Linked DNA regions of Anolis sagrei. The protein of the gene in region 1 interacts with the protein of each later gene in a biochemical or structural test. Links are inferred from orthologs where the notes say so. Each region holds a gene or a part of one and is shown on either strand. Other genes may lie near its edges. The genes, in order: ATXN3, RAD23A, PRKN and calpain-2 catalytic subunit.

Region 1 (7,908 bases):
TGGCCAAATCCTGCAAAAATGTCCTTGGAAGCACTTTTTTCCTGCTAGTAATCATACGTTGTCCCCCGGATCTGCTATCCTGACAGTTTACATTGCTCCCTCAACCAGTGTTTTTAAATTTTTAATTCTTTGCAACTGGCCCTGCCCACTGTGATTAATTTTCTGTGTTCAAGTGTTCTGATTTTATATTGTTTGATGTGTATATTTGTATTGATTTTGTATGTTATTTTTTCTGTTGTATATTGCTTTATTGTACTACTAGCCATCCCCTGACATGCGTTACTGTGGCCCACATGGGGGTTCTGTGTGGGAGGTTTGGCCCAATTCTATCGTTGGTGGGGTTCAGAATGCTCTGTAATTTTACGTGAACTATAAATCCCAGCAACTACAACTCCCAAATGTCAAGATTCTATTTTCCCCAAACTCCACCAGTGTTCACATTTGGCCATATTGAGTATTCGTGGAGAGTTTGGTCCTGATCCATCATTGTTTGAGTCCACAGTGATCTCTGGATGTAGGTGAACTACAACTCCAAAGTGGAATCCTCGACATGCGAGTGTGGAGAAGAGCAAACTACAGACTACCTGCTGCAATGCAACCTGAGAGCCCTGCCACATGCACAATGGAGGACCTCCTTGCGGCAACACCATAGGCACTCCAAGTGGCCAGATACTGGTCAAAGGACATTTCATTAACTACCAAGCTTGCAAACTTTGTTTTTTATCTATTTGTTTTGTTAAAAATGTAATACAAATGTCTGGTTGCTCCTGACACGATAAATAAATAAATAACTCCAAAACCAAAGGACGCTGCCCACCAAACCCTTCCAGTATTTCCTGTTGGTCATGGGAGAACTGTGTGCCAAGTTTGGTTCAATTCCAACGTTGGTGGGGTTCAGAATGCTCTTTGATTTTAGGTGAACTATAAATCCAAGCAACTACAACTCCCAAGTGACAAAATCAGTTTTTTTGAGTGAAGGACATACATTGGGTTGTTAGGTGTCTTGTGTCCAAATTGGATGTCAATTCATCCAGTGGATTTTGAGTTCTGATAATCCCACAAACAAACATTACATTTTTATTTAAATAGACTAGCCGTCCCCTGCCACGCGTTGCTGTGGCCCAGTCTGGTAATCTGGAAAATAAAGTAATGTGAAAGTGTGGGTTTCTAATATATGTAATTTCTTGTTGTTTCTTTGTCAGTGTTGATGTGTGGATGGTCTGGTTTGCCTACTCTGGAATATGGAACATAATTGTCCTTCTTTAGGGGTCCCTGTCAAATCTATGATCTCTGTGTGTGTGTGAATCATATCTATCTATCTATATTTATGCCTGGATAGCTCTTTGTCAGAAGGGCTTTGATTATGTATTCTTGCCCTGGTGAAGGGAGTTTAACTCGATGGCCTTAAGTATATTCTGTTGGTCATGGGGGTTCTGTGTGGGAAGTTTGCCCCAATTCTGTCATTGGTGGGGTTCAGAATGCTCTTTGATTGTAGGTGAACTATAAATCCCAGTAACTATAACTGCCAAATGTCAAGGTCTATTTCCCTCAAACTCCATCTGTGTTCATATTTGGGCATATGGAATATTCGTGCCAAATTTGGTCCAGATCCATCATTGTTTGAGTCCGCAGTGCTCTCTGGATGTAGGTGAACTACAAGTCCCAAACTCAATATCAATGCTCACCAAACCCTTCCAGTATTTTCTGTTGGTCATGGGAGTCCTGTGTGCCATATTTGGTCCAATTCAATCACTGGTGGAGTTCAGAATGGTCTTTGATTGTAGGTGAACTATAAATCCCAGCAACTACAACTCCCAAATGATAAAATCATTTTTTTTTTTTTGAGTGAAGGACATACATTGGGTTGTTAGGTGTATGCTGTCCAAATTTGGTGTCAATTGGCCCACTGGTTTTTGAGTTCTGTTAATCCCACAAACAAATATTACATTTTTATTTATGTAGATTTCTATCCTGCCCTTCTCCTCCTGAAGGCGAACTCAGGTGAACTATAAATCCCAGCAACTACAACTCCCAAATGACAAAATCAAAAAAATTTGAGTGAAGGACATACACTGGGTTGTTGGGTGTCTTGTGTCCAAACTGGGTGTCAATTCGTCCAGTGGTTTTTGAGTTCTGTTAATCCCACAAACAAACATTACATTTTTATTTATATAGATTGGACTTGGCCTCATGTAAACCACCCCAGGTCCCCTTGGGGAGATGGTGGCCGGGTATAAATACAGTTTATTATTATTATTCCTCATGATTCAGCTCATGTTCTTTGTATCCAGCAGGTATTCAAGTCACCATCCACCCCACAATTACCTGTCTAATTACTTTTCACTTCTAACGCTGCGATTCTATGATTGTAAGAGTGATATCATGACAGATGTCAGTGAAGTGGAGCAAGCAGGTGGACCAGTAGCAGAAGCTCCCATGCCAGGGTTGTGATTAAGTGTCTGACAAAACAGGGCTGAGCCCACACACCCTCCTCCTCCTCCTCCTCCATGTTGAGACTCATACTTCCCTATTTGGGACTCACTGCCACCAGCAAGAACTCCACCCATTTCTACAATGTAGATCAGGCATGGGCCAAGTTGGGCCCCCCAGGTGCTTTGGACTACAACTCCCACAATTCCTAACAGCCGTAGGCTGTTAGGAATTGTGGGAGTTGTAGTCCAAAACACCTGGGGGGCCCAACTTGGCCCATGCCTGATGTAGATACAGCTTTCCCTCCTTCCTCACAACATTAACTTCGGTCCCCGAGTAGGAGGCTTCCCCGGAAGGCCTCCAGCTCTCTGCCTCAACTTCCAGCGGGAGCGACAAGCCCTCCTTCCTTCCTTCCTTCTTCCGAGAAGACAAGGAATTGGCTTCTCCCGCCTCCCTGCCGGATCCCGCGTGGCCCCTCCAAGGCGCCCACTCACCCTCTCGTGAAAGATGGCCTCCATGTTTATTTGTCTCCCCACCGACACCAGCCTCCGCGCCACGTGACGGAGAGTCAGCCAATCGCAACAGGCTCCGTCCCTTCGACCAATCACCGCCGCTTCGTCATTCGAGGCTGGGCTTTACCTCACCCCGCAACCTATCTATGAGCTCAACCCATACGTCAAAGAGAGGATGCTAAGGAGAGCGTGCTCTGTTTTACCCACACTTCCGGTTCCAATTGACAACATTTATTTTATATATTTAATTCATGCCCTATCCCGAGCTCTGAAGATCACCTGGGAAGGAATCCCACTGGAGCATGGCAGCGCACCCAAATACCTGGGAGTCACTCTGGACCGTGCCCTGACCTACAAGAAGCACTGCCTGAACATCAAGCAAAAAGTGGGTGCTAGAAACAATATCATACGAAACCTGACTGGCACAACCTGGGGATCACAACCAGATACAGTGAAGACATCTGCCCTTGCGCTATGCCACTCTGCTGCTGAGTATGCATGCCCGGTGTGGAACACATCTCACCACGCTAAAACAGTGGATGTGGCTCTTAATGAGACATGCCGCATCATCACAGGGTGTCTGCGCCCTACACCACTGGAGAAATTACACAGTCTAGCCGGTCAAAGCCATGGTATTCCCTGTAGTAACCTACGGATGTGAGAGCTGGACCTTAGGGAAGGCTGAGCGAAGGAAGATCGATGCTTTTGAGCTGTGGGGTTGGAGGAAAGTGCTGAGAGTGCCTTGGACTGCGAGAAGATCCAACCAGTCCATCCTCCAGGAAATAAAGCCCGACTGCTCATTGGAGGGAAGGAGACAAAGTTGAAGTACTTTGGCCACATCATGAGGAGACAGCAAAGCCTAGAGAAGACAATTATGCTGGGGAAAGTGGAAGGCAAAAAGAAGAGGGGCCGACCAAGGGCAAGATGGATGGATGGCATCCTTGAAGTGACTGGACTGACCTTGAAGGAGCTGGGGGTGGTGACGGCCAACAGGGAGCTCTGGCGTGGGCTGGTCCATGAGGTCACGAAGAGTCGGATACGACTGAACGAATGAACAACAAAAGCCGGTATAGCAACCACCTGACATCCGTCGGGAAGTAGCAGCCAATAGTGAAAGGACCAAGGCAGTGACATCTCCAGCCCATCCCTTGTTTGGGTATCAGCCAGCACGTCAGCGACTTAAATCAAGAAATAGTTTTCTCAGTTCTACAGAGACACTCGCTGGAACACCCCAGCAAGCAAGAGTCCAAAAGTGGCAGGTTCAAACCCAGAACCTCAATCAATGGCTGATACCAAATGAGAGACTCCCCCCTGGGCACACAGAAGACTGGGCGACTTGGAAGGCACTGAACAGACTACACTCTGGCACCACGAGATGCAGAGCCCACCTCAAGAAATGGGGCTACAAAGCGGAATCCACGACATGTGAGTGTGGAGAAGAGCAAACCACTGACCACCTGCTGCAAAGCAACCTGAGCCTTGCCACATGCACGATGGAGGACCTTTTTGCGGCAACACCAGAGGCACTCCAAGTGGCCAGATACTGGTCAAAGGACATTTAATCAGCTACCAAGTTTGCAAAATTTGTGTGTTTTTTTAATGTTTGTTTGTTTTCTTCTGTTAGAAATGTAATACAATGTTCTGGTTGCGGATGACACGATAAATAAATAAATATGGTGTATTGTTTATAGTCTATTGCTTGATGTTTTTGATTTGCTTTATAATGTTATGTGTATTGTTATGTTGTTGTCTTTTATGAACCCACGCGTTCCCTTCGTTCATCCGGAGAGGCCCTGCTCGCGATCCCACCTGTGTCACAGGCGCGTTTGGTGGGGACGAGGGACAGGGCCTTTTCTGTGGTAGCCCCCCGACTTTGGAACACCCTCCCCAAGGACATCAGACAAGCCCCTACACTGGCAGTCTTTAGGAAGAGCTTGAAGACCTGGCTGTTCCGGTGTGCCTTTCCAGAATAGGAAACTCCAGCAATATGTCCCAGAAGCACTTTATCAGAGAGTTAAGATTGTCTGCACATTGCACTTACCCTAAAATCCTACATGTTACCTGTCATACTCAGCACCTTTTAATCTGTACCCATTACAATCGGCCCAGCCCTAGTTTTTAATTGTGTTATGGTGTATTGTTTATCGTCTATTGCTTGATGTTTTTGATTTGCTTTATAATGTTATGTGTATTGTTATGTTGTTGTCTTTTGAGGCCTCTGCCTATGTAAGCCGCATCGAGTCCTTTGGGAGATGCTAGCGGGGTACAAATAAAGTTAATAATAATAATAATAAATATGTAATTTCTTTATGCTTGTGGGTAAACAGTATTGCTTGCTGTTTCTTTGTCAATGTTGATGTGGAGAGTGTCTGGTTTGCCTACTCTGGAATATGCAACATATCTTTAAGGGTCTCTTTAAAATCTATGATACTATATCTGTGTGTGTGTCAATCATATCTATCTATCTGTATGGCTGGATGGCTCTTTGTCAAGAGAGCTCTGATTGAATTTTCTTGCAGTGAAGAGTTGGACTGGATGGCCTTAAATATTTTCTGTTGGTCATGGAGGTTCTGTGTGGGAAATTTGCCCCAATTCTGTCGTTTGTGGGGTTCAGAATGCTCTTTGATTGTAGGTGAACTATAAATCCCAGTAACTACAAATCCCAAATTTCAAGGTCTATTTCCCCCAAACTCCATCTGTGTTCATATTTGGCCATATGAAATATTTGGGTCAAGTTTGGTCCAGATCCATTTGGGTCAAGTTTGGTCCAGATTTGAATCCACAGTGCTCTCTGGATGTAGGTGAACTACAACTCCCAAACTCAAGGTCAATGTCCACCAAACTCTTCTAGTGTTTTCTTTTGGTTATGGGAGTCCTGTGTGCCAAGTTTGGTTCAATGCCATAATTGGTGGAGTTCAGAATGCTCTTTGATTGTAGGTGAACTTTAAATCCCAGCAACTACAACTCCCAAATGACAAAATCAAAAAATTTTGAGTCAAGGACATACATTGGGTTGTTAGGTGTATGCTGTCCAAATTTGGTGTCAATTGGCCCACTGGTTTTTGAGTTCTGTTAATCCCACAAACGAACATTACATTTTTATTTATATAGATTTCTATCCTGCCCTTCTCCCCCTGAAGGGGGATTCAGGGCGGCCTCACATAAGCATCATGTGATGCTGTCAGCATATAACAATAAGGAATACAGTAAAAATCATTAATTCTGCAGGAGGCAGCAACCGGATTTTAAGTGGATTTTTTTCTCTAGTATGATGAGGCCCCCGGACTTCAACCCACACAATTCCCAACAGCCTATTGTCTATTAGGAATTGTGGGAGTTGAAATCCAAAACAACGGGAGTGCCCAAGTTTGGCCATTCCTTATTTACATTGTCGAATTAATGCATGATTTCTTTTCCTACTGCCTTCTACTTTACTAGGCACAATTGTCTTTTCTAATGAGTCATGTCTTCTCATGATACGTCCAAAGTACAAGTTTAAGTCTAGTCATTTGCTTTCTAGGGAGCGATCAAGTTTGCTTTGCTCCAAGACCCATTTATTTGTCTTTTTGGCAGTCACAGAACTCTTCTTTGGCATGACATTTCAAATGAGTAGACATAGGCTTTCCTCACTGTTCAGCTTTTACAATCATATACAGAAGAAAATACAATGGTAAGGACAAAGATTACAAAACACATCATCCTCCTTTCCTAAATGCCGAAGGAATAAGGGACAGATTAGAATACCTCCTTCATTATGTGTTTTTTTTCCTTTTTGAAATGAAATTTTAGTAATGGTTAATTAGGTCTTCAAAGCTCCATTATGCTTCAGAGATACTCATCTGGGTAATAATAATAATAATAATAACAACAACAACAATAACACTTTATTTATATTCTACTCTTATCTCCCTGAAGGGACTCAGGGTGGATTCCAAACAAAAAATGCAAACGTCCAGTGCCCTATTTCTGGTATTCCTGATATCTGCAGTGTTTTCTTCTAGCAAACAAATGAGTTTTAAAAGCACTAAGAAATTTTAAAAAGCTGACAAAGTTTTAGAGGTGTATATTTTCCCCTCTCACTGATTTATATTCCTATGTAGAATGCCTTGTAAAACAAATGTATAACTAAAGCTATTTATATTTCCACTGCCAGCACTAAATAGATATATTTTAATGCATTTGTTTGTTAATATGCAGCAAAGTATAAAGTTTTGGGAGAGAGAATTTCAAAACAAAACATCCAAATACTTTTTAGGCTGGTTGTCATCTTCTTTTTATTTAAAGGTGGAAAAAAGATCTCATGTGTATGTCCCCAGAGAAGAAATTCCAGAAATACAAACTTTAGAATTTTACTCTAAAGAAAAATGAATGCAATGACATTCATTCATAACTGGAAAAAATGTTATGTGTTTCTTCTTAAAAGTAACTTCTTAAGCTCCTGCTAAAGTCATGAATTTAATAGATGGCCCGGGACTAACAATTTTTGTTTCACTCAATGACACGATCATTTCATTTGAAACATTATTTCCATGTGACTTCTTCTCCAGGTTTCAATTCCCTGTGAAAATGAAAGAAAGGATTATCAAATTAGGAATGTTGTCTTTCCAGAAAAAATTGTTCACATTTAAAAGTACGGTATATTCTGCTATGCAACTAGCAATTTTGGTAACAGATGGGAAAAAACTTCACCACAAGTCTTCACTTTTATGCTTTTTTGAACAATATTTCAAATAGTAATAAAGATGACAATTTATTTTTAAAATAATATGTTTGTAATTTTTTGTACTCAAAATCCCTAATTGGATATATGGCCTGTTCCCAATATTTTTTTTGAATAAATAAAATAAAGATGTTCAGCGCTCTTCAGTTACATTTTCAAAATAATTTTGGTTACTAGAGCAATAGAAGACATCATCTCCACCACGTTCAAGCTAACAGTAAAAACAGGAGTAGAAACATGGCCCAC
Region 2 (7,789 bases), on another chromosome or scaffold:
TATCTCGACAGATTAGAGAGATGGGCCAAAACTAACAAAATGAAGTTCAACAGTGACAAATGCAAGATACTCCACTTAGGCAGAAAAAAAGTTCAAAGATACAGAATGGGGGATGCCTGGCTCGAGAGCAGTATGTGTGAAAAAGATCTTGAAGTCCTTGTGGACAGCAAGTTAAACATGAGCAAACAATGTGATGTGGCGGCAAAAAAAGCCAATGGGATTTTGGCCTGCATCAATAGGAGCATAGTGTCTAGATCTAAGGAAGTAATGCTATCCCTCTATTCTACCTTGGTTAGACCACACCTGGAATATTGTGTCCAATTCTGGGCACCACAATTGAAGAGAGATGTTGACAAGCTGGAATGAGTCCAGAGGAGGATATTAACTTTATTTGTACCCCGCTAACATCTCCCGAAGGACTCGGTTCGGCTTACAAAGGCCAAGGCTCTCAATAAAACAACAGCATAACATGTACAACAATAAAATTCATAAAGCAAACCAATAAACATTAAAAGCAATAGCAATAAAACATTAAAAACAATACATCATAACACATTTAAAACTAGGGCCGGGCCAAATGTAATGACTAAAATTAAAAGTGCTGGACATGACAGGTGAAATGTAAGGATTTTAGGGTAGGTGCGATGTGCAGGCAATCTTAAATCTCTAGTAAAGTGCGTTTGGGACATGATACTGGGAGATTCCTATTCTGGAAAGGCACACTGGAACAGCCAGGTCTTCAAGCTCTTCCGAAAGACTGCCAACATTGGGGCTTGTCTGATGTCCTTGGGGAGAAAGTTCCAGAGTCGGGGGGCCACCACAGAGAAGGCCCTGTCCCTCGTCCCCACCAAACGCACTTGCGACGCAGGTGGGATCGCGAACAGGCCTCTCCAGATGAACGGAGGGATCGTGTGGGTTCATATACGGAGATGCGGTCACGCAGGTAGGCAGGTCCCAAACTGTTTAGGGCTTTGTAGGTGAGCACCTGCACCTTGAATTGGGACCGGAAAATGAATGGCCCCCCGACTCTGGAACTTTCTCCCCAAGGACATCAGACAAGCTCCTGAAATCAGACAAGCTCCTTGGGGAACTTTCTCCCCAAGGACATCAGACGGAGCTCCTTAAACAGGAGGGTTGACCTCTCTCTGTAAGGAGCACCAGTTAACAACCTGGCCGCCGCCCATTGGACCAGTTGGAATTTCCGAGCCGTTTTCAAGGGCAGCCCCACATACAGCGCATTACAGTAGTCCAATCTAGAGGTGACCAAGGCATGGACCACCCCGGCCAGATCAGCCTTGTTGTGTGATTTATGTAATTTTAATGTTTTAAATTGTATTATGATACTATGTATACTGTTTTGTTGGAAACCGCCTTGAGTCACTGATAGGCTGAGAAAGGCGGTATACAAATACGGTAAATAAATAAATAAATACTATGGAGAATATATATTTTTTTGTCTTGTCAGGAGCGACTTGAGAAACTGCAAGTCTCTTCTGGTGTGAGAGAATTGGCCGTCTGCAAGAACGCTGCCCAGGGGACGCCCGGATGTTTTGATGTTTTTATCATCCTTGTGGGAGGTTTCTCTCATGTCCCCGCAATGGGGAGCTGGAGCTGACGGAGTGAGCTCATCCACGCGCTCCCCAGATTTGAACCTGCGACCTGTCAGTCTCCTGCTGGCACAAGGGTTTAACCCATTACGCCACCGGGGGCTCCTATCTATATCAATAAAAATGTAATGTTCGTTTGTGGGATTAACAGAACTCAAAAACCACTGGACGAATTGACACCAAATTTGGACAGAATATGCCTAACAACCCAATGTATGTCCTTCACTCAAAAAAATTGATTTTGTCATTTGGGAATTGTAGTTACGGAGATTTATAGTTCACCTACAATCAAAGAGCATTCTGAACCTCACCAACGATGGAACTGAATCAAACTTGACACACAGTTTTCCCATGACCAACAGAAAATACTGGAAGGGTTTGGTGGGCAGTGTCCTTTGGTTTTGGGGTTGTAGTTCACCTACATCCAGAGATCACTGTGGACTCAAACAATGATGGGTCTGGACCAAACTACATGAATACTCAATATGCCCAAATGTGAACACTGGTGGAGTTTGGGGGAAATAGACCTTGACATTTAGTAGTTATAGTTGCTGGGATATATAGTTCACCTACAATTCTGAACCCCACCAATGATAAAATTGGGCCAAACTTCCCATAGAGAATACCCATGACCAACAGAAAATATTATGTTTCCTGATAATCTTGGGTGACCCCCATCTTGACATTTGGGAGTTGTAGTTGCTGGGATTTATAGTTCACCTACAATCGCAGAGCATTCTGAACCCCACCAATGATAGAATTGGGCCAAACCTCCCCTATGTGGGCCACAGCAACGTGTGGCAAGGGACGGCTAGTGGAGAATATTTTTTTGTCCTGTCAGGAGCGACTTGAGAAACTGCAAGTCGCTTCTGGTGTGGGAGAATTGGCCGTCTGCAAGGACGCTGCCCAGGGGACGCCCGGATGTTTTGATGTTTTATCATCCTTGTGGGAGGCTTCTCTCATGTCCCCGCAATGGGGAGCTGAAGCTGACGGAAGGAGCTCATCCACGCTCTCCCCGGATTCGAACCTGCGACCTGTCGGTCTTCAGTCCTGCTGGGACAAGGGATTAACCCACTGCACCATGGAGAATAAAATCACCCAATGTGAGTTCCGTGGAAGCGGGAGGGCTAATTCGGGAAGGGCGCCAGGCAGGGAGGGAGCTCACCGTCTCTTCGGGCTCCATCCGGATCTTGAAGGTCTGCTGCTGGAGGGTCTTGAGGGTGACGGTCACCGCCATGGCGGCGGGAGCGAAGGCCCAAGAGGCGGCGGCAGCGGCGGCGAAGACGGGCGGTTCCTGCCAACGGACTCAGCGGGGGCCCCCACCACAACATGCAACTTCACGCCGCCGCCATTTTAATCGCCCCTTGGCGCCACTTCCGTTGCCCGCCAGGCCCTCCCCACGTGACGCGGGAAGGACGAATGGGGCAACGCGCGTGGCTCACGACCATAGAGTCGGAGGCTGAGGAGGGAGTCTGACTTCCGGGTGGTGTGCCAGCGGGAGGGGGCGGGGGTTAATCTTCACGGGCCTCCTTTTTCCCGCCACTGCTTTGGAGCCGCTCTTCCAACCATAGGGATTGATCAGGGACTGCAAGCTGCACCTCAGCGCTTTGAGGGGACTCTTCTGAACGCTGTGAAAAAGATCTTGGGAGTCCTCATGAACAACCAGTTAAACATGAGCCCACAATGGGATGCGGTGGCAAAAAAAGCCAATGGATCAATAGGAGCATAGTGTCTAGATCTAGGGAAGTCATGCTCTCCCTCTATTCTGCCTTGGTTAGACCACACCTGGAATATTGTGTCCAATTTTGGAGTCCACAATTGAAGAGAGATGAGGGCGACTAAAATGATCAAGGGTCTGGAGAACAAGCCCTATGAGGAGCGGCTTATGGAGCTGAGCATGTTTAGCCTGAAGAGAAGGTTGAGAGGCAAGATACTCCACTTAGACAGAAAAAACGAAATGCAAAGATACAAAATGGGGGACAATGCCTGGCCCAAGAGCAGTACGTCTGAAAAAGATCTTGGAGTCCTCGAGGAAAACAAGTTAAACATGAGCCAACAATGTGATGTGGCAGCAAAAAAGCCAATGGGATTTTGGCCTGCATCAGTAGGAGCCTAGTGTCTAGATCTAGGGAAGTAATGCTACCCCTCTATTCTGCTTTGCATAGACCACACCTGGAATACTGTGTCCAATTCTGGGCACCACTATTGAAGGGAGAAGTTGACAAGCTGGAATGTGTCCAGAGGAGGGCGACTAAAATGATCAAGGGTCTGGAGAACAAGCTCTATGAGGAGCGGCTTAAGGAGCTGGGCATGTTTAGCCTGAAGAAGAGAAGGATGAGAGGAGATATGATAGCCATGTATAAATATGTGAGAGGAAGCCACAGGGAGGAGGGAGCAAGCTTGTTTTCTGCTTCCCTGGAGACTAGGACGTGGAACAATGATTTCAAACTACAAGAAACATGAGGAAGAACTTCCTGACTGTGAGAGCCGTTCAGCAGTGGAACTCTCTGCCCCAAAGTGTGGTGGAGGCTCCTTTGGAAGCTTTTAAACAGAGTCTGGATGGCCATCTGTCATGGGTGATTTGAATGCAATATTCCTGCTTCTTGGCAGGACGTTGGACTGGATGGCCCATGAGGTCTCTTCCAACTCTTTGATTCTAGGAGACATGGTGAGGGCCATGTATAAATATGTGAGAGGAAGTCATAGGGAGGAGGGAGCAAGCTTGTTTTCTGCTGTCATGAAGACTAGGACGCAGAGCAATGGCTTCAAACTTGAGGGTGACGCAGCATAACTTCCTTTTTTCAAAACTTAATAAAACCCATTGAATGAATCAGAATTTTTATTTTATTTTTTTGTAATGTAAGCGCCTACCTAAAGTTTTGTTTTACATAGTTTTGAAGATCAAATTAGGTAGGTGACGTCCCCCATTCTCCATACACTGAGTAAACCGATTTTTGGCTTTTGTCATGACTCTTGCCAGCATAGCAGGCGTTATGTTGGCAGTTTCTTCCTGGATGTTGGTCTTCAAATCTTGTAGGGTCCTTGGACGGTTCACATAAACACGGGATTTCAAAAAACCCATAGAAAAAAATCACAAGGGGCCAAATCTGGAGAGCGGGCCGGCCACTCCAAATCCGCTCGAAAAGTAGGCCTCAATGGCAAAAGCACGCTCCTCACTGTCCCAACGCATGATGCCGACTGAACTGTGTCAGGACAAAAATTTATACTCCCGCCTCTCGAACAAGACCACATCTTCAACCGACTGAATGGTACGCATTTTAAAAAAGGAAGTTATGCTGCCTCACCCTGTACAAGAAAGGAGATTCCATCTGAATATTAGGAAGAACTTCTTCACCGTGACAGCTGTTCAGCAGTGGAACTCTCTGCCCCGGAGTGTGGTGGTGGCTCCTTGACATCCGCCAGAAAATAGCAGACTGTAACGAAAGGACCAGAGCATTGACATGTCCAGCCCAGTGTGCAATACGAGGGTTGGAACTTTAATAGTGGCAACACTACTGTAAAGACGCCATGCAACGAAACCAAAGAATGTTGCGTATACCACACATTAGTTACATACCTACCTTACCGCTGAGCAAAAATACTCACCATTTCTACATTACGGGCATGTGGAGTGATGTGAAAAACTGAGATTTGTATTAGCTTGCAGTCTAAAGTAACTGTTGACAAGATGTTTTTGAAATAAGAACAACAGAGTTGGATAAAGATTGAATGTGCCAGAGGTTGTACGGTCATATGCGCAAATCCTGTGTTTTGGGCCAGCTCATGAATTGTATGGTGTCGATCACTGTCTACAAGTGCAGCAACAGCATTCACTTCTGCTTTGCTGACACTAGGATGACCTGACCAATGCATGTCTGCCACATTTTGGCATCATTCGTTGAAGGCTTTTACCCACCTTGCCACTGTTCTATAAGGCAATGCAGATTCCCTGCAAGCCTCTTGAAAACCTTGATGACACTGTCGTGCTGTACGACCTCTGGCACATTCAATCTTTATCCATCTCTGTTGTTCTTGTTTAGAAAACATCGTGACGACACTTATTAGACCGTAAACTAATTCGAGGCTCAGTTCTTCGTGTCACTCCGTATGCGCATGATGTAGGAAGGGCGAGTCTTTTTGCTCAGAGTTAAGGTAGGTATGTAACTAACGTGGTTTACGCGACATTCTTTGGTTTTGTTGCATGGCGTCTTTACAGCAGTGTTGCCACTATTAAGGTTCCAACCCTTGTATATCCCACCACATTAAAACAGTGGATGTGGCTCTTAATTAGACATGCCACATTATCATAGGATGTCTATGCCCAACATCGCTAGAAAATTATACTATATTGTACCACCTGACATCTGTTGAGAAGTAGCAGCTGGTATTGAAATGACCAAGGCATCGACATCTTCGGCCCAGCCTCTGTTCAGATATCTGCCAACATAACCAAGTCTTAAACCAAGAAATAGCTTCCTAAGATCTATAGAGATACTTGCAGGCACATCTCAGCAAGTGAGAGTCCAAAAGTGGCAGGTTAAAATCCAGAATCTCAATCAGCTGATACCAGATGAGAAACTCCCCCCTAGGCACAGAAAACTGGGCGACTTGGAAGGTGTTGAGCAGACTGAGCTCTGGCACCACGAGATGCAGAGCCAATCTTAAGAAATGGAGCCACAAAGTGGAGTCCATGACATGTAAATGTGGAGAAGAGCAAAGCACAGACCACTCACTACAATGCAGTCTGAGCCCTGCCACATGCACAGTGGAGGGTCTTTTCACAGCAACACCAGAAGGCACTCAAAGTGGCCAGCTTCTGGTCAAAAGAAATTAAGTATAATGCCAAGTTTTAACTTTGTGGTTTTTCATACATTATAACTGTATTCTCAATTCCTTCTGACATGATAAATAAAATCTTGTCTCAGAACTGCAATGGACAACTATCAAAGACTGCCATATTCTGCAGTTTGAACTCCACTGACCATGTTATACAAGTCTACGTTTAGCTGCATTAAATAATAATAATAATAATAATAATAATACTTCTTACCCGCCTCTCCTTATGGCTCAAGGCAGGTTACAAAACAATTAAAATACACAGCAAAAACACTAAAATGAACCTTCATAAAAATTACACACCAAAACGTATCTACAATTACATACTAAAACACACAAAACAGAGATCAAACAAAGGACACTTAACATTCATGTTTAGATTGAGTAGGCTTGCCAGAAAAAATAGGTCTTTACATGGTTTTTAAATTCTGACAGCTCATTTAGCTGTTAGTTCTTCCGGTGGGTTGTTCCAGTCATGGGCGGCTGACGAAAAGATCCTCTGGGTGGTAGTTGCCAGTTGAGTTCTAGCTGGTTGGAGCAGACGCCCCACAGAAGACCAAAGTGTGTGGGGTGCATTGTATGGGAGAAGGTGATCCTTTATGTAACCTGGACTCAAACCATGTAGGGCTTTAAAGATCAAAACCTTGTACTTTCCCAGAAACTAATTGGCAGCCAGTGGAGTGACTTTAGGATAGGTGTGATATGTTCACTCCTAGATGGCTGCTGCATCTTGAATTAGCTGGTTTCCAAATTTGGTACAAGGGTAGCCCATTGTAAAGCACATTGCAGAAGTCCAACATGAGGTCATCAGTGCATGCACTACCATCTTTAGGTCCTCTAAATCTAGGAAGGAGCACAGATGGTGTATCAGCCAAAGCTAATAAATACTCCTGACTGCCACATCTACATGCACTGAAATTCGGAGAGATGGATCCAGGATCCTTCGGAGGCTTTTAAACAGAGACTGGATGGCCATCTGTTGGGGGTGTTTTGAATGCAAATTTCCTGCTTCTTGGCAGGGGGTTGGACTGGATGGCCTGTGAGGTTTCTTCCAACTCTACGATTCTGCAAGCAGTCTTTCAGGAGTGTAACTCCATCCAGAACTGACAAACTTCCATCCCCCAGCTTGATGGCAAGTACCTGTTTTGTCAGGATTTGTTTTTCTTCATCCAGCCCATTACCTGCTACAGGCATTCGTTCTGTGGAGACACAGAATCCTTAGCTAAATCAGTTTTGGAAGGAATGCAGAAATACATTTGGGTGTCATCAGCATACTGATAACAGTGGGTTGTTGTAGGTTTTTTCGGGCTATATGGCCATGGTCTAGAGGCATTCTCTCCTGACGT
Region 3 (7,204 bases), about 250 Mb from region 1:
GGGATTTTCTGCTCTTATATTCTGGGATATAGGACTGTGTGGAAGGGCTTTTAGTCACATCATTTATATGTGATTCATGAAGGCCCACCTATTGGATTGAAACAAAATGCAGCTAAAAGGCAGATCCGATAATCTAGAACACTGCTTCTTAAATTATAGGTCTTGACCCCAAACGGGATCCCCTTTGCTCAATGTTGGGGTCAGGAAAAATTGGCAACAGTAGAAGGTTGCTGGATGCCATTCATTTCTGCAACTCTGTTAACAACAATGTGCAGTGTTTACAGTGGACTCTGCAGAAAATGCTTCAGCTATACTCCAGAAACAAGAAAATCATTCTGTTTAGAAAGCCATGCAGATATTGATTTCTTATCAGTAAAAGATTGATTTGTATGCCTATTTATATACCTACTTGCTCATATAAAAATATCTTACGTTAAAAAGGTTGTGAGAGGAAAAGGTTTAAGAAGCCCTGATCAACAAAATATTTCCAAATAATTAAACTGATTGTCCTATGGGCCTAGGAAGGGAAACAGGGTTGGTATGTATCGATTCTTCATCCCCATCACCTGTAGATTATCTGCAGGCCTCTAATAAAAGCAGCTGTGCTGCCAGCACAGAAGAAGCAGTAGCATCAGAAAGCTTGAGGGCTGCAGTGTATTGGGATATTCTACTTTGAAAATGAAAAGAAAAGGTTTTTCTTCATAAGATACATTCCCTTAAGTTGAACAGTGCAGTATCTGGAGATACCTGGATATCTTTGTGTGTGTTGCCTGTAAACTTATGGAAATCCCATAAATTTTATAGCGTTTTCCATTGCTTTCCTCTGAATAGAGCCTAAGGCAATACTGTATACATTACCACTTATGTGTATGCTGCTTTTAATCAACTTATGAATAACATACTGTTTTCATAGGCAAGGAGTACTCAGAAGTGGGTTTGTCCATTCCTTCTTCTGAAATATTGGTACAGATTACAGTTGTTGGTATTTGTTGATGATCTGCTGTCCAAGTACTAATCAGGCCTGACCCTACTTAGCCTCTAAGATCAGATGTGTTTGGGTGCCTTTAGATTACAATGAGCCCGTGGTCTCCACTAGGGCTTGGATCAAGTCCTATTATATACAGTAAAGTTGTGTCCCATACATGTCTTTTGTTTTTAATATTTTCAAGCCATGGCTGGTCAAATCTGCAAATGCAGAATTTGTGGATATGGATTGCTGACTATATTTAGGCACCTAAATAATATTGGAATCCTGTAGAATTGGCAAAGTGGTGTGTGTGTATACATAGATTGATAGCCCCTCCCCAAATGTAGACAACTTTTCACAGTTAGTAATTATGACTGCTTTATGGCTAAGGAAATATCTTTATATTGACGTATAAACATTACAATAATGATTTATTACCACTGTATGGTAATATGTTCAAATTTGTCATTCCTGTGCAGCCATTCAACTGTTCACATTGTAAAGTACATTGCTGCCAACTTCCCTTAATGTTTTGTTTATAATTGCACAACACCTTTCTACAGTGCCCAAGTTACAAATTGGAACAGGTACATTTTTAAAGTGTAATTCCAGCTGTGCATGTGCGTTTGTGTAGAGTGTGTATATGGATGTATTTTAATTTGATTTATGTCTAACTGTAATTGTATAATTGTAATTGTTTGTGCTGGCATTTAATTTTGCCATTACCTATGTGAAAACCGCTTTGAGTCCCCTCCCGGGTGAGAAAATGTTATAAATACATATATAATATATATATATGTGTGTGTATGTATATGTGTGTGTGTGTGTATAGATGGGTAATATAGAGAAGGGTTAACAATCCTGTGGAGTTTGTTTTACTATCTGTGTCCCTGTTCAGAAGATTTCCCTCCCTTTCTGTCTCTGTGGCCATTGGATTTTGGATCATTTGGTTTGTTGTGGAAACAAGGATTGGTGAGAAAGCTTCAGTGGAGACTCCCTTTCCCCATGATGACTCTTTCATGTTGGAAATGACAACCTTCTTCAAGTCTTCTCTAGCAATATATTTATCTATGATCCTGTTGCTCACAGTTATCTGTATATGTATGTTTTTCAAAAATTTCAGGAGTGATTTTCCCTTTCTAGGGGTAGATTTCTCTCACTTTCTGTTCTCAGCCCCTTTCTTAACTACAAGTTATTTGTAAGTCGAATGTTTGTAACTCAGGGACAACCTGTATTGGGATCTTTTATATATTTGGGGTAGGGGTGGCAGAGAATTTTTTTAAAATGTTGGGAAGGGGATTGCCAAAGGAAAAAAAAAAGAACTGGAATTAGACTTTTCAGAATGTATGTTTTATAAGGAAGTTGGAATAAATCTATAATTGTAAACTGTTAAAGGCTGTACATCTCTTTGTAAAAAATGAAAAAGAAATCCAGAATTATAAACTGTTAAGGGAATAGATGTTTTTTGGGGGGAAAAGGGTAAAAAAAATATCCAAAATTGCAAGTTGTTAAAGTGACATATATTTTGGCTCTAAAAATGCAAAGAAATCCCAAAATTCCAAGCTGTTAAAGGGGTATACTTGGGGGGGAGGGGAATGCCAAAAATAGAATTATGATCTGCTAAAAGTGTATACAATTTTGAGGAACACCCTGTATGTGCGCCTAGGAATTAAGTGTTTTAGATTATTCAACATGAGAAAAGTATTTTGGAGCAGACCAGCCTCTGCTTCCCTGAGATCCCCCTCCTTCTGTTAGGAGAGAGCCAATGAAGGGGACGGGGAGGGGGAAACACACGCTGCATCCGGGTCCCACTCACCTATCATTGCCAGCGGTGGGAGAAGGGGGCGCTCTCAACCCCCGTCCTTTCCGCCACTCAAGTCTGAACCTTCTGAAGACTACGCTCCCTGCAGGCCGGCCGGACTTTAGACGCAATGCTGGCGGGGGCGGGGCGGGGAACCTCGCAGTGCTTTCTGGGAAACGTAGTTCTCGCCGCCTTGCCCGCGCCTTCACCTCTTCCAGCTACTGAATTCAATGAGTAGTGTGTGTAGGTAAGGGTGTGTGTCACGTGACCAGAGCTACCTCCCCCCCCCGCCTGTGGGTGACGTCACGGCGCGTGGAGACAGCAGCCTCTTGCTTGGCCCTGTTCAATAGAAGGAAAGGAGGGGAGAGGTTGCTTTCTATACATCCTTAGCAACTTATGTTTCAATCTTATCTATTTTCACAATGTTGCACCAGCCTTGGGGATTGTCTCTTGTGTTGTCTTCCAGTTGTAGAAGTCTGTTTTTATAACATTTGTGGATTTAAAAAAAAACATTTTACCAAAAATGTATATACCTTTAAAAAGTAATATTTCAGTGTGTATATATATATATATATATATATATATTCACACACACACATATACATAAATATATTGCCAAAATCAAAGCAAAACGTTTATGCAACGTTTGCAATTCTGTGCTTCGACCATGTGATCAGTGATTGCATTGCTGCTCACTGGTGTCATTTGAACACCTTACACAAAATTGTAATTTCAGGTGGAATTTGTAGGTGACTAAGAATGCATCTACACTGTTGAATTTATGCAGAGTCACGCCACGTTAACTAGTAAAAAAGGAAAGTGGCTGAGGCTGTTAGGTATTGTGGGAGTTGAAGTCCAAAACACCCAGAGGGCCAGAGTTTTTCCATGCCAGCTCTATAGCATACTATTGAGTGGTGGTATCTGTAATTTTACAAGGTCTTTAGCTTTCTTTGCCTAAGAAAGCTGGTGCCTGCCTAAACTAAAAATCCCAGGATTTCCTAGCATTGTGCTGTGGCAGGTAAAGTGGTGTCAAACTGCATTAATTCAACTGTGCAGATGCATCCTCAATCATTATAACAACTCTTCTTCAGTATGGGTATATTTATTTCGCCTTAAAATATTCTGCATGGCTACCATTAAACAATACATACATTTCTGTGGATACTGAGTTGTCAAAGGCTTTCATGGCCAAAATCACTGGGTTGTTGTGAGTTTTCCAGGCTGTATGGCCGTGTTTCAGAGCGTTCTCTCCTGACATTTCACCCACATCTTTGGCAGGCATCCTCAGAGGTGCAAGGCCATTAAATGATAATCAAGGTGGCCAACTGCAACATTCACACTTGCTTCAAACAAAGAAGAGTTTTTCCCCCCACCCTGGGCATTCCACAGATATGTTGTTGTTTATTCATTCAGTCACTTCCATGGACCGATTCTTCATGGACCAGCCTTCGCCAGAGCTCCCTGTCCGCTGTTACCACCCCCAGCCCCACAGATATATAAACCTCAATCTGGCTAATTTCTGACAGACCACACAACCTCTGAGGATGCCTGCCATAGACGTCTCGGCAAAATGCCATACAGACCAGAAAACTCACAGCAACTCTGTGGAGATTGTTGAACTGTTAACCATTTATTGTCTTGTATTGATCATTCATCCCCCTGTCCATTATTTATAGGAACACACTTTGCAAGAGAGAAAAAAGCACATTCTCTTTGGTCCCCAAGTTTAGCAAATGTGTAAATATAAAAAGTGATGTTAGACAGCAAGGGAGAGAAGGTCAGTGACTATATTTATAGGCAGCAATGAGAGATTTACTCTCCAGAAGTCAGCCTCAAGAACAAATAAAGGATGAATGCAAAACATGTACTAAATTAGAATAATGAAAGCATTTGTGAGTGCATTAGACCTACAGATGATAATTTTAATCAGGGTGCCTAAAAATTGGGGGAAAATTATGCAACCTAGTTCTTACTTCTAAAATATTTGAATGCCTTTGCAATGAACTTTTAAAGTGTAATTTTCTTGTATCAAAATTTAAAACAATATACTAGTGAAAGGAAAAGAAGCAGAAGGCAAAATGCAATTGTTTTGGTATGTTTGGTTATATTCATCTTGTGTACATATATAATAATCAGTTCTTTAAAGCATACTGCACTTTCAACAGGTGTATATTTTTTAAGATTTTTTTATTTTTAATATGTATACATACATAGAAACAATTGAAATACAAGTATTATTTCCTCAGTCCCACGACCTCCTCATTTCCACCCGTGAATCTCCACCCTTGATTTCTCTTTACATAATACAAACGTATGAGAATACTATTGAATATTTATATCTCACTATGTTCAAGTGTTTAATTATTTTTCCCTGGTTTCTCCATCTATTCTATAGTCTAAATTCAATGCAAATAGTTTGACTATAGCTCAGAGTCTTATGATGATGTAAACCGGGATACAGGATGATGAAGAATCAAAATGAATGCTTTTGAGAACCTTAGACAGTTATATATAAGATTAATAAAACTCAACAGGTGTATATGACATATACATGGATTTTGTGTTTAGCCTTAGGTCCTAAGATGGGCTGCATCAACACATTGTAGAATTAATGCAGTCTGGCACCACTTTAATGCCATGGCTCAATGCAAGGTAATCTGGAAGGCTGTAGTTTGATGGAGAACCCGTGCTCTTTGGCAGAGAAGTCTGAAGACCTGCAGCTACAACTTCCATGATGCCACAGTATATAGCCATGGAAGAAAAAGGCTGGATCTACACTGCCATATAATGCAGCTTGAAATGCTTTGGAATACCGGCCCCAGAGAGATCAAAATGGCACTGTGATGTCTCGGCCTGTTTATTTCTCAGTTGGACTGTTCCATTTTACCAAGTTTAGGGGAGAGCTTAGGTTCCCCTAGAGGCCGAGTTCGGTTGGTGCAGCCCATTCTGACTCAGAGCCAGAATGGGCTGGTTATAGAACTTCGTTTCCCATTCTTTGTCAGTCTTAGCTTATAGATAGTTGCCAGATAGTGTCTGGTCTGGCCAAGCAATTTGAACAGGCCATCCTAATCACGTATTTGCCAAAGCTTATAGATAAATAGTAATATACATAGAATAGTTATAGCCGTATTTGCCTTAAAGTTTATAACACGTATTTGCCTTATAGATAGTATTTGCCCTAAAGTTTATAATAGATAGTTCGTAGATAGTTGTATTTGCCATAGAATAGTTATAGATAGTTAGATAGATAGTTTATAGATAATATATGTAATAAAGGATAGATAATATTTGTCATAGATAGATAGTTACATCATCCCCCATAGTGTATAGTTATATTTACCTCAGTTATACCATCATAATTAATCTTCACCTTTGTACATTGTTGTAATTCATCTTGTTTGTTTAGTAAACTCAATTTGGTTAAACTTAATCTTGTTTATAGAGTTTTATTTTGGGGGAATTATAGTAATTAGGGCATATCGATGGTCACTGGGAAAATAGCCAGACACATTTGGGTTTTTCATTAGATCTCCCTGGTGTGCCATCACAGTGATTAGGATCCTGATCGGCTTGTAGCCGATTCAAATTGCTTATAGAAAGTTATAAGAGAGAGCCCACTCCCTGCAAAGGGGGTGTGAGAGAAGAAAAAGCACTGTTTACATAGTGATTGGGAGCCTGATCGGCCTTGTGGCCGATTCGGATCGCTTATAGAAAGAAAAGAGAGAGCCCTCTCCCTCAGGGTGTGTGAGAGAAAAAGGCACTGTTTCCACTTTTCCATTGGAAAGTGTAACAAAGTTATAGGAATACTTGGGTGAAGTGTTGCTAAATTGAATACTTTTATAGTAAGGAGAGTTAGGGGCAGCTTTTAAAGTAAAAAAGCTGCCTGCCTGCCCTTTTAAAAGACATTGGAGGCTTGTTTCCTGTCAGAGAGTGAAAAGGGCAAAGCTAGCACCTGCTATTTGTCTTAAGGGGGCATTTGGCGCCAAAAGGGGTTTTTTACAGTTTGGCAGCCATTTTGTGTTCATCCTATTATAGTAACATCAGAACTGTGACAGCCTTATTGTCCCCTCAAAAAGAAGCGGCGGCCATTTTGCCTTCACCAGTATACATAGATTTCTATGGGATTTTGTGCTGATAGTGTAGAAAGAGCGGGAAAAGGTGTTTTGGCGCCTGTTCTGGCATTTTTCTGAGGAAAAGGAGTTAGAAGACTCTTATACCTATTCCAGTAAATTGTTGTTTTGCTGTTATAGTATAGGTGGTGACAGTAGGCTGTGTGAACATTTTGCCTCACACTCAGTCCTCTTCACCCACATAGAGTTGTTGCCTCAGCAACCAGCATACAACAAGAATGGATGGGCTTTCTGATGGAAGTGCAGACAGACATGTACACATTTCCCGTTCACATAGGGTTAGGCACCCCACAGAGAAGGCCCTAC
Region 4 (7,091 bases), about 280 Mb from region 1:
AGCAGAAAATCCCACAATATGTCTGTTTTGAGCTGGGTTATCTGAGTCCACACGGCCATATATTCCAGTTCAAAGCAGAAAATGTGGGATATTATTCAGCTGTGTGGAATGGGCTTTAATGGGCAGAAAAGCAACTAGTAAGATTTTTAAACAAATAATAATAATAATAATTACATAAGTGGAAACCTCTAGCTCCTTGAATATTGTTGGACCATTGTTTTTCAGTATTTACTATACTGGATACGGCAATTGGGAGTTTGAGTCTAGTAGCATCTGGAGAGTTATATAAATATCAGATTTTTAAATCTGTAAGATTAGCTTGTTATCTCTAAATTATTATGTGGACAGATAAGAATCTTTACTGATTGACCTTTCCTGTTTTAGGCCTTTTAAACTTTTCCTGTTCAAAGCAAGTTGAGTATTTTATGATGGCTGGGTAGCTGCAAGTGGTCAAGCTGGAAAAACATCTTTAACGCTTGCTAACATATCCTGGTTCCAAAACATCTTGCAGAAGTCACTTCTATACATTAATAAGCACTGATATAGGGCATATTTCACCATTCCAGTGCACTGCCAAAGCTAGTTAGGGATTATGGTGTTTGTAATCCAAGACATTTTGATGTTCCTGCTTCTTGGCAGGGGGGGTTGGACAGGATGGTCCATGAGGTCACTTCCAACTCTATGATTCTACTCCATATTGACCTGGAGAGTGGTGGTTCAAAAAGTAACATTCCCCGATTCTGTAATACCTGTAGTACACAAATGAATAGTCTTCAAGCCTTCTAGATTAGTCCCACTGTGTTGTGTGTCATGTGTGTGGTGTCTGTATATGTGTGTATAGACAGATAGATAGATGGATAGATAGATGGATAGATACATAGTTTGAATACTGAAAAATAAATGTAATAGTGAGGGAACTTGATAGGCACAGAAACAAACAAATAAACAATGGGTATTTAATAGGCAAGACAGTGTGATCTACAGACAATCCACAAGTTACAAACATCCTACTTACAAACGACTCATAGTTAAGAATGGAGGTGAAACAACAGGAAATAAGATAAATCTACCCCTAAGAAGGGAACTTGACTCCTGAAAGAATTAAAAATAAAAGTAAAGGTTTTCCCTGACATGAAGTCTAGTCGTGTTCGACTGGGAGGTGGTGCTCAACTCCATTTCTAAGCTGAAGACCCAGAGTTGTCCGTAGACGCCTCCAAGGTCATGTGGCCAGCATGACTGCATGGAGCGCCCTTCTCTTCCCTCAGAAGTGGTACCTATTGATCTACTCACATTTGCATGTTTTCAAACTGCTAGGTTGGCAGAAGTTGGCAGAAGCTGGGCCTAACAGCGGGAGCTTACCCTGCTCCCCAGATTCGAAATGCCAAACTTTCGGTCAGTAAGTTCAGCAGCTCAGTGGTTTAACTCGCTGGGCCACCAGGGGAAATTATCATAGGAAAAAGGCGTCTCCACTGAAACGCTATCACCAACCCTTGATTCCACAAGTCCAATTTTTCAAGATCCAGTCATCAAAGGGACAGAAAGTGAGGTGAAATCTTCTAAACAGGGAGGCAGACAGCAAAACAAACACCACAGGGATGTTAAACCTTCCCTATGCAATCCAAAGCTAAAATGTATGTATATTTTTGGCTGGAGATACACTTTTAAAAAATTACCTGTTACGAATTACATACAAATTCAACTTATGAACAAACCTACAAAACATAACTTGGTCGCAACTTGAGGACTGCCTGGAGTGCTTTGTGCACTAAAAACTACAATTTCCTCTCCCATTTGGCCATGGAAATCCACAAAGTGACTTGGAGCAGGTCACACACTCTCAGCCTCATAAGTTGCCATAAGTCAGAAGTGGCTTGAAGACAATTCCTAACAGTCGCAGGCTCTTTAGGAATGGTGGGAGTTGAAGTCCAAAACACCTGGAGTGTGAGCCCAAGTTTACGCGGTTGAGCGGGAAAAGGAAGGGGCCTGAGGCTGTTAGGAATGGTGGGAGTTGAAGTCCAAAACACCTGGAGGGAGGGCCCAAGCTTAAGTGACTGAGGGGGGAAAAGGAAGGGGCCTGAGGCTATTAGGGAGGGTGGGAAGTCCAAAACACCTGGAGGGAGGGCCCAACCTTAAGTGGCTGAGGGGAAAAAAGAAGGGGCCTGAGGCTGTTAGGAATGGTGGGAGTTGAAGTCCAAAACACCTGAAGGGAGGGCTCAAGTTTGCCCATTCCTGGTAGGATTAATACCATTTGAAATGCCATGGCTCAATGCTATATTTTCACCAGGTCTTTAGGAGCCCCGAAGACCGACAGGTTGTAGGTTCGAATTTGGGGATAGGGCGGATGAGCTCCCTCTGTCAGCTCCGCCTCCTCTTGCGGGGACATGAGAGAAGCCTCCCACAAGGATGGTAAAAGATCAGAGCATCAGGGCGTCTCCTGGGCAACGTCCTTGCAGACGGCCAATTCTCTCACACCAGAAGCGACTTGCAGTTTCTCAAGTCACTCCTGACACGAAGAAACAAAACAAAACAAACATGTAGTCTACTCGAGTTCTTTATCCTTCTCTGCGGAAGAGGGCTGGTGCCTCTCCAAACTCCATCTCCCAGGATCCCACAGAATGGAGGTGTGCCCCCAAAAGTTTCCTTCCCGGCCCCTTCCCTCCCTTGCTCCCTCCTACCGTGGGCCTCTTCCAGACGATGCCCTTGGTCTTGGCGGAGTGGGGTCCCAGCTCCTTGAAGCCCAGGGCGGGGGGCCCGGCGGGGAAGGAGGGGTCCTGGAAGAGCTTCCCGGCCTCCAGGCACTCGTCCCTGAGCGCCCCGAAGTCCTGCCGGAGGTACTTGACCGCCTTCTGGTTGGAGCCCAGCCCTTGGGCCACCGCCCGGTCTTTGGCCACTTTCGCTGCGATCCCAGACATGATGGTGGCTCGCCCCGGCCGAAGGAGGAATGCCCGCCCTCAGCTGCAACTCCTCTGCCAAGTGTCCAGAGAGAAGAATCCCTCCCAGCCGGATGGTGATTCATCGCAACGAGGGGAAATCTCCTCGCCTGGGGCGGGGAGGTGCCCTCACGGATGCCTTCACACTGGAGAGTTAATGCGGTTTGATGCCGCTTGAACTGCCCTGGCGCAATGCTGTGGAATTATCCTGGAGACTTTAGGGCAGGCATGGGCGAACTTTGGCCCTGCAGGTGTTTTGGACTTCAATTCCCAAAGCCTCTTAGGAATTGTGGGATTATTGGGATATTGTGTCCAATTCTGGGCACCACAATTGACAAGAGATATTGACAAGCTGGAATGTGTCCAGAGGAGGGCGACTAAAATGATCAAGGGTCTGGAGAACAAGCCCTATGAGGAGCGGCTTAAGGAGCTGGGCATGTTTAGCCTGAAGAAGAGAAGGCTGAGAGGAGACATGACAGCCATATATAAATATGTGAGGGGAAGTCATAGGGAGGAGGGAGCAAGCTTGTTTTCTGCTGCCCTGGAGACTAGGACACAGAACAATGGCTTCAAGCTACCAGAAAGGAGATTCCATCTGAACATTGGGAAGAACTTCCTGACTGTGAGAGCTGTTCAGCAGGGGAACTCTCTGCCTCGGAGTATAGTGGAGGCTCCTTCTTTGGAGGCTTTTAAACAAAGGCTGGATGGCCATCTGTCGAGGGTGCTTTGAATGTAATTTTCCTGATCTTGGTAGGAACTCCAAGAAGCAGATTCTGAGTTGAAGTCCAAAACACCTCCAGGGCCGAAATTGGCCCATGCTTGCTTTAAGGTCTTCAGCCTTCTCAGGCAAAAAGGGATAGTGCCTCACAGAACAATGGTTTTCCCCTCACATTAAGTCCAGTCATGTCCAACTGGGGGTGGTGCTCATCCCCATTTCTAAGCCAAAGAGCCAGCATTGTCTGTAGACACCTCCAAGGTCATGTGGCCAGCATGACTGCATGGAGTGCTGTTCCCTTTCCGCCGGAGCAGTACCTATTGAGCTACTCATATTTGCATGTTTTTGAACTGCTTGGTTGCAAGAAGCTGGGGCTGACAGCGGAAGCTCATGCCGCTCCCCAGATTCGAACCTGCGACCTTTTGGTCAACGAGCTCAGCAGCTCAGCGGTTTAACCCACTGCACCACTGGGGGGTCAGCTATGGCAAACTGTGAAAGTAATGTAATTTGACCTCTACTATAGCTGCTATGGAATTTTGAAAGTTGTAGTTATGCAAGGTTTTTAGCCATCCCTGCCAAAGAGTGCTGCTGTGCTTCCCCAAACTATCAATCCCATGATTCCATAGCATTGAGCCATGGCAGATTAAAGGTACACCATGCAGTTTGACACCACTTAACTGCCATGGCTCAATGCTATGGATGTCCCACCTTGGAGTTTAAGATCATCCAGGGAGGCCCTGCTCTCGGTCCCGCCTTTGTCGCAAATGCGTTTGGCAGGGATGAGAGACAGGGCCTTCTTGGTGGTGGCTCCCCGCTCTTGGAACATGCTTCCTAGTGAAGTTAGGTCAGCTCCATCTCTCCTTTCCTTTAGGAAGAAGCTGAAGTCATGGTTCTGGGACCAGGCATTTGGGTATCAGGGTCAACCTCATAACCTCTGAGGATGCCTGCCATATATGCAGGTGAAACATCAGGAGAGAATGCTTCTAGAACATGACCATATAGTCCAAAAAACCTACAACAACCCAGTGATTCCGGCCATGAAAGCCTTCAACAATATACTTACATATTTTCAAATCTTGGTGTTCCAGTATATTTACATGGGGAAAAAAAGGTTCTTTTGGAGTTTTTTCAGGCTATTTATTATATGTTTTCATATACTGTAGATAAGAGATACATGGACTTTCCCCTCAGGCAGTAACACAGTAACACAAGTGCAATGTCTGGGCACTTCTATGTCACTACAACCCCTTCTACACTGCCATATAATCCAGATTATCAAATCGGATAATCCATACTATTTTTGAACTGGATTATATGAGTCTATACTGCCATATAATCCAGTTCAAAGCAGATAAGATGGATGTTATATGACAGTGTATAATGGGCTTACATTTCATAACATTATGTATAAAGCATGTTGTGTGTTAGTTAGCATTTGAGTCATATAGAATTCTTATTTTTATTTTTCCTTCTTGGACCAAGGTAGGTAACTTTCTCCTTTTTAAAAAAACTGGACTTTCTGCATTCTGGGAATAGATGGAATAACTATGAAGAAAAAATGTGAGTGGAGGAATAGAAGGATTTGGATAGCCACCATGTGGACAGCCCAAAAAAGTGAATGCAGAAAGTAAGAATCGGAAATAAATGAGTGAAATTTATGGAAGGCATCCCACAAGGAGTAATGTAACTTCCTTGTTTGAAAGCTTTACTTACCTATTTGTAAGCAGATATACTATCCCATTACTGCCATGTTTTCATTTCATTTCCCAGTAGTCTGAGAGCTGTGGCAGGTAGGAAAATGCTTAACAAATAGTTTTAATGAATAAATAATATCAGAAATCTTTAACTTTTAGGGCAGCCACAAAAGGCAAAGCTCAGCTTTCTTTGAATGCTGCTGGAAGTTGATGGGGTTGGCACCCATTTGGTTAGAATCTCTGTCCATCTTTCCAATGAGTATATTTAATGTACATGTGTCAAATCCAAGGTTTGTGGGCTTCCATGTCATTTTATGTGGCCTTCCAGATGCTGGACTACAATTCCTGTTTTTCACATCATTAGACACGATGACCACGGCTGATGGGAGTTGTGATACAGTACAGTCACAATGGGGTCAACCCTTGTGCTGCTGAATTGCTGACCTGAAGGTTGGCAGTTTGAATCTGCGAGACAGGGTGAGCTCGTGCTGTTAGCCCTAGCTCCTGCCAACCTAGCAGTTCAAAAACATGCAAATGTGGGTAGGTCACTAGGTAATGCCTCAGCAGGAAGAAAAACAGGTACTCTGTACAGTCATGCCGGCTACATGACCAGGAGGTGTCCATGGACAATGCAGGCTCCTCGGCTTGGAAATGGAAATGAACACCTCTCTCAGAGCCAGAGATGAGTACTGCCTCCAGAGCTGGAAATGAAAGGAGAAGCCTTTGTCTTTGTGTATTTGTGTTTCATTGTATGCCTTTGTAACAAGGCATTGCATGTTTGCCTGTGTCTGTTTATATGCTGTAATCCGCTCTGAATTCCCTCAAGGAGAAGGACAGAATATAAATAAAGTGCTATTGTTATTATTTGAAACACAACAAGATGAGTCCACAGCAAAAAAGATCACTCTGCTGGCTGTTGTATTGGATCACACTTCGGAAACTTCCCAAGTGTCTAGGACTGTGTGATGTATCGGTGAATAATGCATGCAGATCCCAGTAGGGTGGCCTTTTGCAGCTGGCAGATGGTTATCTTGACAGCGCCGATTGTATTTAAGTGCAGGCCAAGGTCTTTAGGCACTGCATCCAGTGTGCCGATCACTGGGATCACCATTATTATTATTTATTATTTATTACTTATTATTATTATTTTGAAGGCTGCAGTTTGTCTTGTTTAGTCAGGATAGTTGGGTCTGAATTCAGATACAAGGCTTGTTGATGTGATGTCTGACTTTAAAATGTCCTTTAACCTTCTCCCAACCTCAGAGAAATAAGTCCTGTTGTTTTGCAATTCTCATTATCCCCAGTTCACATTGACGATAATAAAAACTGATGGGAGTTGTAATTCAGTAACATCTGGGGACCCAAACTGAGTAAAACCTAAAGAGCACAGACTAATAGATAGATAGATAGATAGATAGATAGATAGATAGATAGATAGAGAGAGAGAGAGAGAGAGAGAGAGTTGGCCCTTTGTATCCATAGATTCTCTGTCCGTTGATTCAATAACCCTTTGAAGGTTGAATTGGCCCTCAGTGAAAATGAGTTTGACACCCCTGGTTTCGTGCATTGGTTTGTTGTTACTTACTGTCTGTGGGAGATCTGAATATTTTTTCTCCTGTAGCCCTTTTTTTGGAGAAAAGATGCAAAGGTCATTCCGCCTTCCACAGTAATTATACCATTGTGCTGAAATTTCCTGTGAACTCCAGAAATATCTGAAATCCAGAAATAACAACCTGCAACCTTCTCTTGCAG

The links.
Region 2: the proteins of ATXN3 (region 1) and RAD23A form a complex in vitro, tested with the Homo sapiens proteins (2 studies listed by BioGRID). The link is inferred for Anolis sagrei from reciprocal best matches to the Homo sapiens genes ATXN3 and RAD23A.
Region 3: the proteins of ATXN3 (region 1) and PRKN form a complex in vitro, tested with the Homo sapiens proteins (4 studies listed by BioGRID and IntAct, with this or other methods). The link is inferred for Anolis sagrei from reciprocal best matches to the Homo sapiens genes ATXN3 and PRKN.
Region 4: of the proteins of ATXN3 (region 1) and calpain-2 catalytic subunit, one has a biochemical effect on the other in vitro, tested with the Homo sapiens proteins (2 studies listed by BioGRID). The link is inferred for Anolis sagrei from reciprocal best matches to the Homo sapiens genes ATXN3 and CAPN2.

What each region holds. Positions count from the first base shown.
Region 1 is NC_090021.1:315,863,045-315,870,952, forward strand, and holds the start of ATXN3 (ataxin-3), read right to left. Parts: upstream 3,018-7,908; 5' UTR 2,949-3,017; coding exon 2,925-2,948; intron 1-2,924. Other genes in the region: NDUFB1 (NADH dehydrogenase [ubiquinone] 1 beta subcomplex subunit 1), read right to left, coding at 7,464-7,500. UniProt on the Homo sapiens protein: Deubiquitinating enzyme involved in protein homeostasis maintenance, transcription, cytoskeleton regulation, myogenesis and degradation of misfolded chaperone substrates.
Region 2 is NC_090022.1:162,469,956-162,477,744, reverse strand, and holds the start of RAD23A (UV excision repair protein RAD23 homolog A), read right to left. Parts: upstream 3,009-7,789; 5' UTR 2,845-3,008; coding exon 2,773-2,844; intron 1-2,772. UniProt on the Homo sapiens protein: Multiubiquitin chain receptor involved in modulation of proteasomal degradation. Binds to 'Lys-48'-linked polyubiquitin chains in a length-dependent manner and with a lower affinity to 'Lys-63'-linked polyubiquitin chains.
Region 3 is NC_090021.1:66,823,646-66,830,849, reverse strand, and holds the start of PRKN (E3 ubiquitin-protein ligase parkin), read right to left. Parts: upstream 3,017-7,204; 5' UTR 2,791-3,016; coding exon 2,784-2,790; intron 1-2,783. UniProt on the Homo sapiens protein: Functions within a multiprotein E3 ubiquitin ligase complex, catalyzing the covalent attachment of ubiquitin moieties onto substrate proteins. Substrates include SYT11 and VDAC1.
Region 4 is NC_090021.1:38,504,416-38,511,506, reverse strand, and holds the start of calpain-2 catalytic subunit, read right to left. Parts: upstream 3,020-7,091; 5' UTR 2,913-3,019; coding exon 2,676-2,912; intron 1-2,675. UniProt on the Homo sapiens protein: Calcium-regulated non-lysosomal thiol-protease which catalyzes limited proteolysis of substrates involved in cytoskeletal remodeling and signal transduction. Proteolytically cleaves MYOC at 'Arg-226'.